Linked DNA regions of Lepisosteus oculatus. The protein of the gene in region 1 interacts with the protein of each later gene in a pairwise test. Links are inferred from orthologs where the notes say so. Each region holds a gene or a part of one and is shown on either strand. Other genes may lie near its edges.

Region 1 (7,980 bases):
CAGATTCAGTCTAACCCGTCCTATTTCTCTCTCATAATGCCTCTTCACTAGTCTCTATGCTAGCTGCTAGATAATCTTCACAGCTCATCTTTCAAATGTTTAACAGGGCTCCAGTCTGCACATTCAGGCAGCCACAGCATTCTTACAAAATTCTCTTCTCGCAAGAAAGCCACTGTCAAGAAGCAGCAGATGCACACATGCGAGTTATCCTACTGGAATGCTGTCATGTCAGTATGAGACCACATCCTTCACCCGGGAGAGTGAGGGCCCAATCTGACTGTACAGTGCTACAAGTGGAGCTCCAACAACTAAACGGTACCAGACCTTTCCACATGGGCCTCCCCACCAATCCTGACAAGGTACTACGACTTCGTGGTCTCCCAGATCACAGCCTATTATTGATGGACCGCATCGGGCCATAACATCATAACACTGCCATAGTCCAGCTCCCCACAGATGGATGAACATAGGGGTTTATAGAATCCTTTCTGTGTGTTTTTCTTTTTTTCGAATATCACTCCACATGTTTAATAAGCTCAACCGCCAGCAGGATGAACTTGTGAAATAAAGAAGGAAGACCACAGGTGGACTGTGTTGTAGGACAAAACACTCCAAACGTATCGTTTTGCAGCAGAAGCACTCCTTTATTTCCTTTTGTTATGACACAGCTGCAGCAGACAGGACCTCTCTCACCTTCCCTCTTCAGCCACTTGACGATGTTGCCCTCCTCCATGGTGGGGGAAAGAGCTGGCATCATCACTTTGACTGGGGCCACTCCTGAAGGACAGAAGGAAACACACCGACTCTTACAAGCAGCAGCAGCCACAGAGATGGGTGGAGGAGGAGGGTTACCAATAAATAAATTAATTCTCACACTTTATGAATCGTACAAAAACTTTACGGGACTATGTATAACCCAATTTATGTGACCCAAACAAATGTAATGTTTAAGGTTAAAAAAAAATCCTGGAGCAAAAAGTCCAGGTCTAGAAAAAACAGCCTTAATGGTACTGGACAAAAAAAAAAGAAAAAAGAAAGAGAGCACTGTACAAAAAGTTGACTGGATGATTCTAAAGTGGGAAACCACACATGAAGGGATGTTCCTGCAGATTTTTTGATGACCCCAAACCACAAAGTATAAAGCATTTAATTTAAAAGAAGATTATGGTTAAGGTTTGTAAAGCATTTGTAACACATGAGTTTGAATATTGTGCTTAGTTTTGCACACTATTCCACAAAAAGGATATCACAGCCATGGAAAGAGTTCAGACAACCAAGACAAACAAGAGTCCTTACCTCAAGAGGTACTGGTTTATCCAGACAGATTAAAAGAGCAGCATGTCTTTGCTTTTAACACAACAGAGCAAGAGGAGATGTATTACATGTGTATAAAACTGTAATGGGTACAATATACAGCAAACATAGTTAACCCAGGGGACTACTTCACCAAAAATGAATACAGGATCACAACTGGAAAGTAGCAGGGAATTAATTTAAGGTAGACTACAAAAATAACAGAATCCTTCTTGACAAAAAGAGTTGTGGATTTCTGCTCTCCCAACCAAGTAGCTGAGGTCCCAAACTACTTCAAGAAAAACAAAATAGACGATAGACTGGAATGGTCTAAGAACACTCAGGGTATCTAGATGAAGGGTCAGAGCCAACTTTACTTCTTGAGGAGGCTCAGTACAAAAAGTAAACCGTGATTAAAAAACAATTGCAAAGAGACTTTGCTGCCCCCTGCAGCCCCTTTGAAGAATCACAACAAAATGGAATTATTGTTCATTACTATTGCAATGATCGAATTAGCACTTCTTTTAAAATGCTTTCCACCCAGTTGTTCTGATTGCTTTTTGTTAATGAGTTCTACGATACCTTTTAAAACCTACTAAAGACTAAATCGTCAATGACACCATATCCTAATAGTACATGATGCTTTAGATCTAGCAAGTTAGACCGGTATAATGCATGGTTATAAGGAGAAAACAAACTGCATTAGAGAGATAGCCATGCAAAATTAAAACATGTAGCACTGATGAAGGCAACATGAAGGCCATGCAAAGGAACAGTAACCAAAGCAGTAACAAGAAAGGGACAGCCAACCCCAGTTGTACTAATCGACGCTGTGTGATGCAGGGCCTGAAGCAGAACATCATACAAAGGACTGCTATGCTCTAAGGGGGCAGACAAGCATGCCTTGAATGTTCTCTTTTTTTTCCTGCAGAATTTAAAGACTAATCACAAAGTAGTAACAATATGACACAAATCATGTATGAAAAATGATAGGAGTTCATAATCACTTGGTAAGGATTACTCTTTCATCTTCTCACTACCTGGAAAGATATAATGAATAAAATAACAGGATGTATACTGCAGCTGACTGTTCTCACCGACACTTATTATTGATGGCCGATTTTCAAAGTCTTGGCTTTCCATTGGATGGAAGTCAGAATCATGACTAGAACACTCAATAGCACTCACTTTCTGTTGTTCCACTTGAATGTAGCTTTGGACTCATTTTGTGGGTCACTGCTCTGATGAAAAGCGAGTTTTCATCCCAGTTTTAGGTTGGCTACTATTCTATCACATAACCTTCATATTGCCTTTGTCTCCCTTTAGCAGACAGAAGACTTTTTTTTCTCCTTTAGACAAGCAGCACCATAACATAATGAAAGGTAGAAATAGTGTTGAGTGGACTATGCAGTTTAATATAGTTTTGTTCATATACTCAATTTTACAAAGTTTATGTAATAGAAACATGCAGGGATCAGCAACAAGGTGGTGAGGTTGCCGTTAACTAATGCTACAGCAAACATGCTGATTACCCCCAGCCTATTCCAACATAAATCAACAACAAGATATAACATAATACACATAAAATGCATATTGTGAAGTAGTCCAGCTGTATAGCTGCGTTAGCATGCGTAGGCTGCAAAGGAACAAGAAAAGGTTTATTCCTGAGAACACAACGTTTCGGCTATGGAGCCTTCTTCGGGTGTGGACGGTGGAGGAAGGGTGTGCCACCGGAAGAAGGCTCAACACCCGAAACGTTGTGTTCCCATTCTTCTCTTTTCAGCAGGAATAAACCTATTGCTTGATCTAATGCACTATATAAAGAACTGCAATGTTATGTTTATGAATTAAAATCTAAACTCCTAATGTGTACAGTAACTTGAGATGATCAACGTTAAATGTCCCCGTCTGTTGTCTATTTCTGGCTTGTACGTGTACTACAATTTAGAAGGGGAACCGTGCGTGCTAGTCTTAACGCTTTAAAAACTTTAAAACAGCGTAAAAATAAAATACAGCAGTACAAGTAGCACACAACCTTCCATTATAACCCAGCCAGCGATGTGCGTTTTGGTTTTTATCATGTGACACGCCAACACTTACCAAACATTGGTGAGGACTGAAAAAAGTGCCGATAATATCCATCCTGAGTTTGGGTTAAACCGGTGCATTTCTTCAGTTTTATTAACCTCAAACCACTCAATATCCCCCGATGTCCCATCCGCAAGGAGGCCGCCATATTTGTGTCCTCGGAAATTACCAGTTACCCTACTGCCTTTCAAAGTTTTGCGTTTCTGAGTGCAGAAATGAATGGATACGTTTTTTACTGCATGTTTCACGTTAGTGCTGTTTAACGAAAATATGACATTTTCCCACTTATTTTAAATAAAACAATTTAAATTTAGGCAGGATAACTAACTACAAAAACAAACGACAATTGTGATAGAAGGACCCCATCCATGAGAAGAGGTCCTTCGCGCTTCTTGTCGCTTCCTTTATACGCAAAGCCTGCAGATCTGCGCAGATCTCACTGCACTCGGCGGTCGGGCAGGCAAGAGCAGAGCTGCATGCAAATTTCGACTGCTAAGCCAGAAAAGTCTGCAAACTCCGCACTGTTGCATATGCGCAGGCAAAGCCCAGCCCTTCCAGTTTAATTCAGTGTAGGTGTGTTATACAGCTCCCTCCTTAAAACATTATCAGTTGGTACCCAAACACCCAAGCTACTAAAAAAAGTAGGAGGAAGTAGGATATTAACCCTTGCTGGATTCTTCTTGTGAGGACCAGAGTTGTGCACCTGTGTTCATTTTGCCCTTGAGTTGTAGTTGATGTAATCTCCACCTCAAGCCAGGGGTTTTCTTGTGAAAATGTGTCCCCTGGACACAGGAATGCGGCATGTCACACTGTAACATGTGGATTTCACAATGTAGAGTAAATAAAGCAGGTTGGGATGATACCTTTTCACATCCACATCCTGCTTACCTCATCTTTTGCTGAATAGGTGGTCACCTGCTCCATCTCTTATTGTGTTGGATGAGAAGGGTTTGTAGCAGGAGGAGTTCCTGCAATGTTGTGCCTGCTTCTCTGCTGTATTTTGACAACCTTTGTTTCACAAAAATACATTGTGAGGGGGGAAGAACAACAGACTGGAGGCACACCTAAGGTAATTTAACACTTCTGACAGTAATTACAAGTGCAGTGTCAGTATATCTCTGGTGTCAGTTTACCTCTCTGGTACACAGAACCCCAGTTCCTATAGCCTTTATAGGTTAAATCATTAGCATCTTAGGAACACTCATTTGTTTCTCAATTAAACAAAAAGAAATGTTCAGTTAGTTTAATTCTGGTACTTGTGGGCTGGATAATATTCAGATTTTCAGAGCTGCAGATGATCCAGCAAGCTGTGCCTCACGATGATACCAGCAACATGCGCATCTTGTCTTCCAGAGTTACCGAGTTTACTGACCGGGGCTGCGCAGTGACGTCACATACGACGTCACATGAAGCGGACCTGTGCAGATCTGTGCAGACGCTGCGCAGACTTATGCAGCAGGGAGCAGCAGGGAGCAGCAGCCATCGAAAACCAACATAGTGGCTGTACTGTTTAGACTTTCTGTGCCTCAAAAACGTGAGGGGTGGGTGGCGAGCGGTTTTCGTTTTCATCGTCCTGTTCTTTAAGGCGTTCTTGTGACCAAGTACACGGTCAAGGAACGAAAGCAAGTTTAGGCCTTAATTTAGGCATTAATTTTTATTTGCCGAAGAGTATTGCTAAAAATGTCTTCAGCGGTCTATAATCGCGACTGCTCTAAATGTGCCCAATCTATTGAGGTAAGTTTATCCAAAGTTGCTTTCTCAGAAATATAAAATGTGTTTACGTTACGTAACAATATTGAAGTTTTCCCCCCCTTTAAATCCGGACAACGCGAATGTCGATGATATAAACGTCGTTTACGCTGCCATGTGGTCAGCCTGCTTTTAGAAACTTTCAAGCAACAGACGCACATAATGCAATGTGCTAATTGTCCCTTTTAGCGTTTATTCTGTGGTATTGCCGCTGAATTATTATGACGTTCCACAATTAAATAATCACTCACGTGACAGATACCTTCGACATGTATTTTATTTGCGAGTTGTGGCCTTGCACAATTAAGAAATGAGCAGTATATTGCAACAAAAACAGCACAGATGTTGAGCTGCTCTGCACCGGATGGTGGTCAAGAATACTCCCTAGTGCCCTACTCCTTGAACTGACTGGACAGTAATGGAATTTGCTTGAGACAGAATGAGATTGCCGTTTGTTTTAGTGAATATTTTCCATTCCAGGACAAGGACAACCCAAGGTTGCTGATTCCTGAGCTCTGCAAACTCTTCTACCAGTTAGGCTGGGTGACAGGAACAGGAGGGGGTATCAGTCTCAGGCAGGGGTGAGTATGCCAAGCCTGAAGCTTAGAAATCTGGTGTGGTCATCCAGTGTGCAGCACCAATTCAGAGAACAAATGCCATTTCATAGAAAGAGTATGAAGTGAAGACAATCTTCATTCAGTTGTGCCCATTCAGGTTTGGGAAGGTGTGAGAGGCCGGTGACCCCAGACAAAATGTCTTCAAGGTGTAACTCGCCTTGCCATCTGGGGACAGAGCGCAGATCCTCCACTGTGCGTGCTGCGCTAGGCGTGAGGAAAGGAAGCCAGAGGCTGACCCTGTCAAGCCTCAGCCCTTTTAAATTCTCACCTGACCACTTGTCCTTGCAAACCGAATCTCCATTTTGTCTGGAGTCACTGCCCTCTTACAGGAGACTACCGTCTACTCTCTCAGCTGTGAGCCTAAATAGTAAGTCAACAGTGTGCTAAATCTACTGAGGCTGAAGCAGTAGAAGCATGTGCACTACAATGCATCTATATCACAAATGTATAAAGAGGTTGTCAAGAGGTAAACAGGATAACAGTGTTATAGGAACAAGTAATAGGTTTATTCCATGTTGAAAAGAAAAGAAAAAAAAACACGTTTTGGCCGTGGAGCCTTCTTCAGGTGTGAATGTGTGTAACAGGGATATTTCATCAAGATAAAATCCCTCCTGTAAGTTACTTTAAAATGTGTCTGATTTATACTGGTATGTTTTTTTTTTGAGGTGAAGACAGTCCTTTGTCATGTTCATGTGTTAGATTAAAAAAAGAGTGTCCAGGTGATATAGATTACATTCTTTATTGTGGAGAAGACAGGTGTAACTTCTCATTGGATAAAGGCAGTAACTGTCTTGTTCAGTTAAAATAAAGCAAGTAGTTCTTGTTACTTCACTTAGAAGCAAATGCTTAATGAGATTGTGTTCTGACTGTATCTCTCTGGCCTACCCCTTCAGAGATCACATCTACATTGCCCCCTCAGGAGTGCAGAAGGAAAGGATTCAGGTCAGTAAAGATCTCTGAGGAACTGCCTGGGACCTGTAACTGAATACCTTTTGAGTTTAATGCCTTTTTTCTCCCCTTGACATTAGGTGTCTGGTTAATGTATCTTATCTCAGGTATCTAGTCGGATAATATTTTTTTAGCTTTCATATAAGTCAGATATATCCTAGTACAATTTTAAATACAAAAAAAACAATTTTACCAATAAAATACCCAGATTGTTCAGAGTACGGAGCTGTGTTGGCATGTGAGCTTCAAATTAAAAGTTAAAGGTTATTTCTAAACTAAAAAGTAAAATAAGGACATATTTGTGGTGTATTAAGGAGAAAGTGTGTTGGATAGCAGAATGCTGTATCTTCTATGCTGTCTTTCTCCAAGCATGGAAGCAGTAGATTAATGCTAAGATCTCCTAATCTCTAGAGTGCTAGCAATCAACTACTGCACTTTCTGCATCACTTTGCAAACTTCCTTCCACCACAAATTAAGTGTTAATGTATCTTCCACCCATTTCCAGAACATAAACTTTAGTGTCAGCTACCCAGGACAAAAAAAAAACGTCTGTGTGTTACAACCCATGATAACTAATTCACTCAGTTATCTTCTTTTACAGCTCTTTCATGCGTGACACACAAGCTGAATTAGAATTAGTGTCTTTAATTAGAAAGGAAAATAGCAGTAAATTGTCAAAATACAAAACAAAACCTAACTGCTTTAGAGCCCTAACAAAGCTCTTCTCAAGTTTGTCGCTGAGCACAAAGTTTGGCAGAAGTACTGTTTACTAGCACCATCATATGTCTATATACTTTATTAATCATTGTCCTACTTGTCATGTGTAGATTCTGCTCTCAGGCGTTGAAAGCCTTTACTTCCTTGTTTTAGGTCATCACTTGGCAAATTGTCTTCCTTCTACTAGTAAGGTGATAAAAGGCAGCAGGTTATTCCCCACGTCATTCTGTAATTAAGCTGTATTTATCTTAATTATGTTAGCAATTAAATCTGATTAATTTAAGAAATATTGGCAGTATGGCCTCTGCAGGCATTGGGGGCCACACCTTGAAGCCACCCAAAAGAAGAATCCATGCTCCTAAGGCAGCTCAAGGAGTGCGAGGGGCTATTGGCCAGCCGACATCAGCCGCTCAGTGATATGTTGCTATGTATACTTATTAGGTTTCAAATGTTTCAAACTGGGTAACTGCCTTTCTAATGAAGGCTGTTGCTTTGAATCAGTCGCATAAAAATCAGATATTTACTGTAGGGTCTTTAGGAGGTGCCGGGGAGCAATCAGAGAAGGTAT
Region 2 (7,281 bases), on another chromosome or scaffold:
CTGTGACAGGAGGTGATACACTGGGCTGCAGCTCTATTGAGTTTCCTCCCCCAGTAGGATGGGGAGCTGTTCCGATTCTGTCAGGGGTGGGAATTCTGGGATTAGATTTGTTATCTTGGGGAAGACTGTTTGTCTAATCCCCCGAGTATTTCTTACAGTGCAGCGGAAAGTGCGTCTCTGTCTCTGCTTCTCCCAGCTGTCCTCTCGGGGCAGCCAGGTCTGCCTGTGTCTCCTAGTTTCTTTCTCTGATCACTGAGCCTGTCCTCTCTGGGCAGCCAGGTCTGCCTGTGTCTCCTAGTTTCTTTCTCTGATCACTGAGCCTGTCCTCTCTGGACAGCCAGGTCTGCCTGTGTCTCCTAGTTTCTTTCTCTGATCACTGAGCCTGTCCTCTCTGGACAGCCAGGTCTGCCTGTGTTGCCCAGTTTCTTTCTCTGATCACTGAGCCTGTCCTCTCTGGACAGCCAGGTCTGCTTGTGTCTCCTAGTTTCTTTCTCTGATCACTGAGCCTGTGCTCTCTGGGCAGCCAGGCCTGTACTTCATAAGTATCCCGGTCAGTGGTATGTATTGTCTTTTTAGGTCCCAGTACTCTTTCCGGCTTGTGCGCGTCCCAGTGGGGGAGGTAGTATTATTTGGGTTGTGCTGTGATGTGGTTTTGGAGCTGTCCTGAGGCCTGGCTGGAGTCAGTGTGGCTCAGAGCCGGGAGGCTGTGCCTTCTCTCTCACGCACACACTTGCATGTGCATAGGAATGGCTGCTCAATGCAATGCTATTAACATGGGAGAAATCTGCCTGTGATCCCATTTAGTGCAGCCAGCCTGGGAGAGGAGCACTTGTAATCCTGTTACAGAACTACAGTCCCTCCTCAGCCGGCAGCGGGCTGTGGGCTGTGAGTGTGTGCAGGCTTGTGTCAATCTGAGTCTCTGAGCACGCGGCGCCTGTGGGTCAGCACACCTCTGTGATCCATCGGCTCTCCCAGTATCCATGTCTGAGTGTGTATGGGAGCGATGGAGGGTGCGTGTGTGTAAGAGAACCAGAGAGAGAGAGAGAAGTGAAGTGACAGCGCTGTGACACAGGGCAACCCTGCTCTGCAATCAGTGTCAGCTTTGTTTTTATTACGGTTATTAACGGCTCATACCGCATTCGTTCCTCCAGACAGGGATGTGTGTGTGAATGAATGAGGGGCAGAGAGGGAGGGGGCAGGGAGACTCGGGAGAGAGAGAGAGAGGTGGGGATACGCCATGGAGAGCAAATATCTTTGAGCACCTCGGGGTCCACTGTGAGCTTTGTGCACACACAATCTCTTATTGGGCCATAGAGATGAGTGGAAATTTCAGCCGAGCAAAACATTAGCAGTTCGACATTTCTCAGAAATGTGCTTGAGATCTTTATCATCTTTTGGCATGTTAAATTAAGCGCAAGCCACTTCTTTCCTGGTGAAACAGCATGGTGGAGAAAAAATACTGTCCTACAGCCTCTGTTGCGTGCTGTGTGAATACGACATACTGTAACAAACCCCAAATGTTTAAGCAGTCCTCCTTTATTTTGCATGTCATGTCTGCATTCCTATTTGTCCCATTATTAAAAATGCATTGTGTCTTCAGTATATGAAGGTCATCGAAGACATTAGATGAAGAAGTTTGAGTAGGGAGATGTGTCAGCATGCGTAAGATGCAAAGGAACAGGTAAAGGTTTATTCCAGGCTGAAAAAGAGAGACAATGTTTTGGCTTGTCTTTCTTCCTTTCCCTTCAGCATGGAATAAACCTGTTTCTATGACACTAGATACCCGTCCATGTGCTTACTCTTTCCAGCATTGTGAGTGACAGCAATGTGATTTCGTTCACACAAGTCGCTGGCGCATTAGCAGTGGAGCATCGTAAAGGACATGTCATAGCACCGCTGAACAGAGGGGCAGAGAGATTCAAACAGACAGAAAGACAGCTGGCAGAGGTAGAGAGAGCTGGAGGAACAGAGGGAGGGAGACAGAGAGCTGGAGGAACAGAGACAGAGAGCTGGAGGAACAGAGACAGAGAGCTGGAGGAACAGAGTGAGAGACAGGATAGGCAGAGAGCTGGAGGAACAGAGGGAGAGAGACAGAGGAGAGGCAGAGAGACAGAGAACTGGAGGGAGAGTGTTGAATAATGTAGTTAATTCTGTGAGAGTTGCAGGAACAGAAAGAGGAAGAGGAAATGATCAATACTGCTTGAATATCTGGGAGCAAGAGACAGGCAGGGGAGATATAGGGAGAGAGGGAACATGAGTGCTGAAGATTTTTGAGGATGGGGAAGGGGAGGGAGAGAGGGGAAATGTAGAAACGTTCTGTACATTTCTGAGCCCCCTGAGCTGATGGCACCCGGCCAATGGCGTTCCTCCCTAGTTGTCAATTAGGAAATAATAATTAGAGACGGAGTGAGGGCACTTAGCGAGAGAGAGGAAGGGGTGGAGGGAGAGAGGAAGGTGTGGAAATAAAGGTATCAGCAGGGAGTCAGGAGCAGAGGGGAGAGAGGAGAAGGGAGGGATAGAGGAGTCAAGAAAGAGCAGTGGGACAGGACGAAAGACAAGGCCAGAGAGAGGAATGCAGTACATGGAGAGAGGCTGGAACAGAGGCACCAGGAGAGCTGAGAAGGGCTGTGGAGACAGAGAGATCGAGGGGCACCGAGAACGCGAGAGCAGCCATCAGCACGCCTACAGCACACACACACACACACACACACACACACACACACACACACACTGCTGACGGCAGCTGGAGCAGAGCCCATCCTCCTGCCCCGCGAGAGCCGCCCAGGTGTGGGGAGGACGGAGAGGACACGAGCAAAGGCGCGAACGACCCCCCCCCCAGCCTGCTGGGTGGACAGGCCTGCTGTACGGTCTGCGCGCTCCAGCTGGGCGCTAGGAGCTGTGGCCCACAGCACGGGGAACTGGGTAGTACTTTTCCAGCGTCTCTTCAATGACATCTCCCTCAGGAAGGAGCTCACCAGCGCCAGTCTCCGGGCCGGAACGGGCGGCGCTTTTGTGAGAAGAGCCGCACTGACACACCTACAGCCCTGAGCTCGGCGCTTGTTTGTACCCATGTGCCCGGCTTGAGTGACGCCTAAACGAGCCGTCCAAGCTGCTCGTTCGTACTCATGTAACATTCAGGCGCCTCCTGAACGTCTCTCTCGCTCAGCTGCCTTCCCTGCCTCTACCTGTCTTTCAGCGCTCAGCTGTCTCCCTCTTCTCCAGGCCTGCTTAGTGTTTCAGCTGTCTCCCTGGCTCCCCTCTCCCTAACCACACACACACACACTTCCTCCTCCGCGCAGACGAGGTTCCAGTTGGTTTGCTGGCGCGCTTGTTGACTGCTTCAGATTAGTGCCACAAACACGACAAGCACTCGCGTCTCAGCGCAGTGAGGTCGGCATCAGTGGCTTCACACTGGAGCAGTCTCATAGCAACACGGGGCCGCCACCGGCTCTCCCTCTCCCTCCCCCGGCTCGCCAGCCCTCCCGTTTCTTCCTGCTCCCCTCAGCGCGCCTCTCCCCCCTCTCCCCCATCTCCTCTGCCCCCCGTGTCCCCCACACGGTCCCACTTCCTCCTTCTCCCCACTTCCTTCCACTCACCTGGACTCCCAGTTTCCTCTCTCCCGAATCCCTCCACACCTTCCTCCTCTCCCTGTCCCTCTCTCCTCTCTCTGTCCCCTCCTCTCTCTGTCCCTCTCTCCTCTCTCTGTCTCCTCCTCTCCCTGTCCCTCTCTCCTCTCTCTGTCCCTCCTTCTCCCTGTCCCTCTCTCCTCTCTCTGTCTCCTCCTCTCCCTGTCCCTCTCTCCTCTCCCTGTCCCTCTCTCCTCTCTCTGTCCCTCCTTCTCCCTGTCCCTCTCTCCTCTCTCTGTCCCCTCCTCTCCCTGTCCCTCTCTCCTCTCTCTGTCTCCTCCTCTCCCTGTCCCTCTCTCCTCTCTCTGTCTCCTCCTCTCCCTGTCCCTCTCTCCTCTCTCTTTCTCCTCTTCTCCCTGTCCCTCTCTCTTCTTTCTGTCTCCTCCTCTCCCTGTCCCTCTCTCCTCCTCTGTCTCCGGACAGTGTGTGCTGTTCACTGGAGTTGTGCGTTCCCAGGGTTTGCTGCAGTGTCGGAGAGCCCTGCCAGCACACACACACACAAATACAGAAACAGAAAAGACAGGCAGAACTGCAAGGTAATTCTGTATCCACAGAGCGAGAGAGGGAGAGGGAGAGGGAGAGGGAGAGAGAGAGAGGAGGAGGAGGAGGAGGGAGGGGGGTTTGAGCAAGCGAGCAGATGAAAAGAGAGAGAGAGATACGCTGTCCGGAACAGCAGGAGAAATTGAGGCTGGTGGAAATTTGGTCTCTGTTGCTTCAGCCTCAGCGTCCTGAATTCCTCTCCACACGGACACAGCTGATCCCACTACCTGCTCCGGCACCTTGCCTTCCGGACTGCTCGGATTGAAGACACGGTGCACTTACAGCACACAGGCGTCTGCTGGCGGCACCACTGTCGTTAGTAATTGAAACACAGCTTCAGGAGGTGCTGGGTCTCTCTTTTCAGCCTTGTTCTCCTCTTGCTCTGCCGATTTGAAGATTAACCCATATTTTGCTGCTGTTAATGATGGGGTATCTCGTGTCGCTGGTACCCGGGCTGCCTTCCTGAGACACCCACCTGGCTGGAGATCTGGAAGTTTTTTTTTTTAACGACAAGCAGAGGCAGCAGGAGGGAGATTGCTATGCCGAGATTGCTGAGGACTAATTAAACGAGAGAAGGTGGGCTTCCCGTTCCCGTCGGCAACGCTTCTATCGGGATCGGAGAGGCCACTGCACAGCGCAGCCCGATCCCGCCCAGGTCCGGCTCCGGCTGTTCTGCAGGGACCTGCTTTCTGGACTCGGCGGCTCTTCTCTCTGGGAGCAGCGTGGAGGACCCGGAAAAGCGAGCCTGATTTATTCCCCCACCTCCATCCCCGGATCCCTCCGCTTGTTCCAGCTGCTGGCCTGGTCGCCCTCGGAGCCCGGTCGGGTCCCGTTAGCGAACTGCTCCTCGTGTCATTGTGTGGCGTGTTCAGCCCAGGTCGTGAGCAAGCCCACCTGCCTCCTGCCTCCTGCCTCCTGCCTCCTGCCTCTGTGTGTGTGTGTGTGTGTGTGTGTGTGTGCACGCGCTGTGTTGAAAATGAAAGAGGCTGTGATTTATCTGTAAGCCGAGGGGGGAGACACAGGGAGAGGTGCAGCCGAGCTCACAGTCTGCTCCAGGTTCGTGCTGCACAGGTCTGTGTTTACCGGGAAGCTGTGTGGCCATCTGACCGTCTGACACACAGACAGGGGTCCTAGGGCTCGTGCCAGGCTCCTGTGCTCGGTGAGTAAAGAGCATTTGTGATTTGGTCGAGATATCCGGGCTGCCTTAAGCGCGTGGTTGAATTCAGCTGCAACCAGGCCATTTTGTTATCCTTCGTGCATTTCGTGTCATATTGTCTGAAGGCTCCTCGTGCTTTAAAATAGAATTAGGTAACCTCTTGGCAGGCGTTTAAAAAAGGATTAGAGAGAATCATCACACAGCCCTGTGGCTTCCAGCGGGAAAGTGCTTACATTGGTTTCCTCCTCTACCGGTCTGGCGTTTTTATTTCATGCTCAGCTGACAGATAAGGCATAAAGCAGCAGATTTGAAAAGAAACAGAAATCCTGCGTTTTTTTTTTTCCTTCAGGAGGAACAGATGCTGAAGTTGCTGTAATCTGGGGCTCTCTGATACTGCAGCAAGAGAGAGAGAGAGAGCACCACCTTGTTGGAGCACTGGGATTATGAGATGAATATTAGATTAATATTAAAGGCTTATATTCACCAGCTTTGACCGATAAAGACACACACACAGACAGGGAGATCTGGCTGTCAGGCAGAGACACAGTCATCTTAAGTAAGTTGCTTTCATGGTCAGTTACTTGTTGAATGCCTTTTTTCAAGAAATGCATTGAAGGAGAGAGACAGGATAATACAGCAACACTGTAAGATAGGTGTTGGAATGAAAAAATGTAAATATACATGTAATTTTATCTATTAACTTATTTTTCCTTAAGTGTTTCAGTATTTGCTCTCACCTGTTCATTAGGACTGTAAGAGCCTGCTCTTTGTCAACAGCTCAGCAGTTCTGATTGAACTGGAGAGACTGGAGTGAAGATGGCTTTCACCTTTAGTCGGCATAGACACAGCATTTAAATCCAGTCCTGCCTGGCCACTTTGCTATGATCTATTGATCCCTTATTGATTTTGCCATTGGTCAGAAAGAACAATCCCAGGTGGTATCTGTGTCAGGATCTTTTATTAAGACATTAGCCTGCGGGAGGTAATACAATTAAATTCAATTACAGACAACAAATACCTTGACATTTCAGTAGGTAACCAGGAAAGAGACAGAGGGGAGTAGATTTAGGGGGAGACAACGTTTAAAACAACGACCCGAGAGAGAAGACTAGGAGAAGGAGCATCGCAGTGTTACAGGACATGCCCTGTGGCCATCTGGCACACGGTGGCTGGGAGGGGCCATGAGGACTGGCCACCAGCGTTGTCTCTTGTGCTTCCTCTCTGGAAGGGGACAGGACTGATTTCTCAGCTCAGGGAGCCACTACAAGAGCCGCAGACAATTGCACAGACAGTTCCAGGCCTCCCCAGGCACTGATGTGTATCTTCTACTGATGTGCGTTTAAGCCCGTTGAAGGCCTGCTGTGGCCTGTGCAGCTCTGAGAGCCGTGGATGCTCCAGGCTTGTAGCTGTGGCTTCAGCACCCCAGGGGAGGTTGGGCTGAGGGCTGTGATCCCTCTGTGCACCGCAGAGCTTCAGAACGTCCTGCACAGCTAAGCGACTGGCTCCCACAGCCCAGGGGAGGACCGGCGCTCGGGGCTGGGGTGAGACCTCCGAGGAGCATCTCTCTAGCGCCGGGCTCGCTTCGCTGTCCTCTCGGGCCCGCTCAGAGCCTGCCGGTCGGCGAGCTGGTCAGTCTGCACCGGCTGCACTACCTGCTGTGGTCTCCTGGTTTACTCTCCCGGCCTGTCTGCCCACCTGTCCAGCAGTCAAGGCCTGGGACCCGGCGGAGAGACACCCCCGTGGAAAATGCTGCGTGGCTTAAACAAGTCCACCGATGAGCCTGGCAGTTTCATGTTAAATGAGTTGAAGAGGCTCAAGAGAGAGGCCCTGTAGAGAGAGAGAGAGAGAGAGAGAGAGAGGCGGAGGCCAGGACAGATCCTGAGCCAGAGAGTGCTCACAGGTAGAGCTTCAAGCCCGAGGCGGTCCAGGACTGAGCTGGGGGGGAGGGGGGCGTGTCGA

What was found.
Region 2: the proteins of apip (region 1) and PDZ domain-containing protein 4 interact in a two-hybrid assay, tested with the Homo sapiens proteins (2 studies listed by BioGRID and IntAct). The two-hybrid records come from large-scale screens. The link is inferred for Lepisosteus oculatus from reciprocal best matches to the Homo sapiens genes APIP and PDZD4.

What each region holds. Positions count from the first base shown.
Region 1 is NC_090716.1:14,265,607-14,273,586, forward strand, and holds the start of apip (methylthioribulose-1-phosphate dehydratase), read left to right. Parts: upstream 1-4,826; 5' UTR 4,827-5,061; coding exon 5,062-5,115; intron 5,116-5,610; coding exon 5,611-5,711; intron 5,712-6,640; coding exon 6,641-6,689; intron 6,690-7,980. Other genes in the region: pdhx (pyruvate dehydrogenase protein X component, mitochondrial), read right to left, coding at 694-777, 3,394-3,529. UniProt on the Homo sapiens protein: Catalyzes the dehydration of methylthioribulose-1-phosphate (MTRu-1-P) into 2,3-diketo-5-methylthiopentyl-1-phosphate (DK-MTP-1-P).
Region 2 is NC_090697.1:74,993,826-75,001,106, reverse strand, and holds the start of PDZ domain-containing protein 4, read left to right. Parts: upstream 1-4,230; 5' UTR 4,231-5,325; exon of another isoform or gene 5,326-6,099; 5' UTR 6,100-7,281.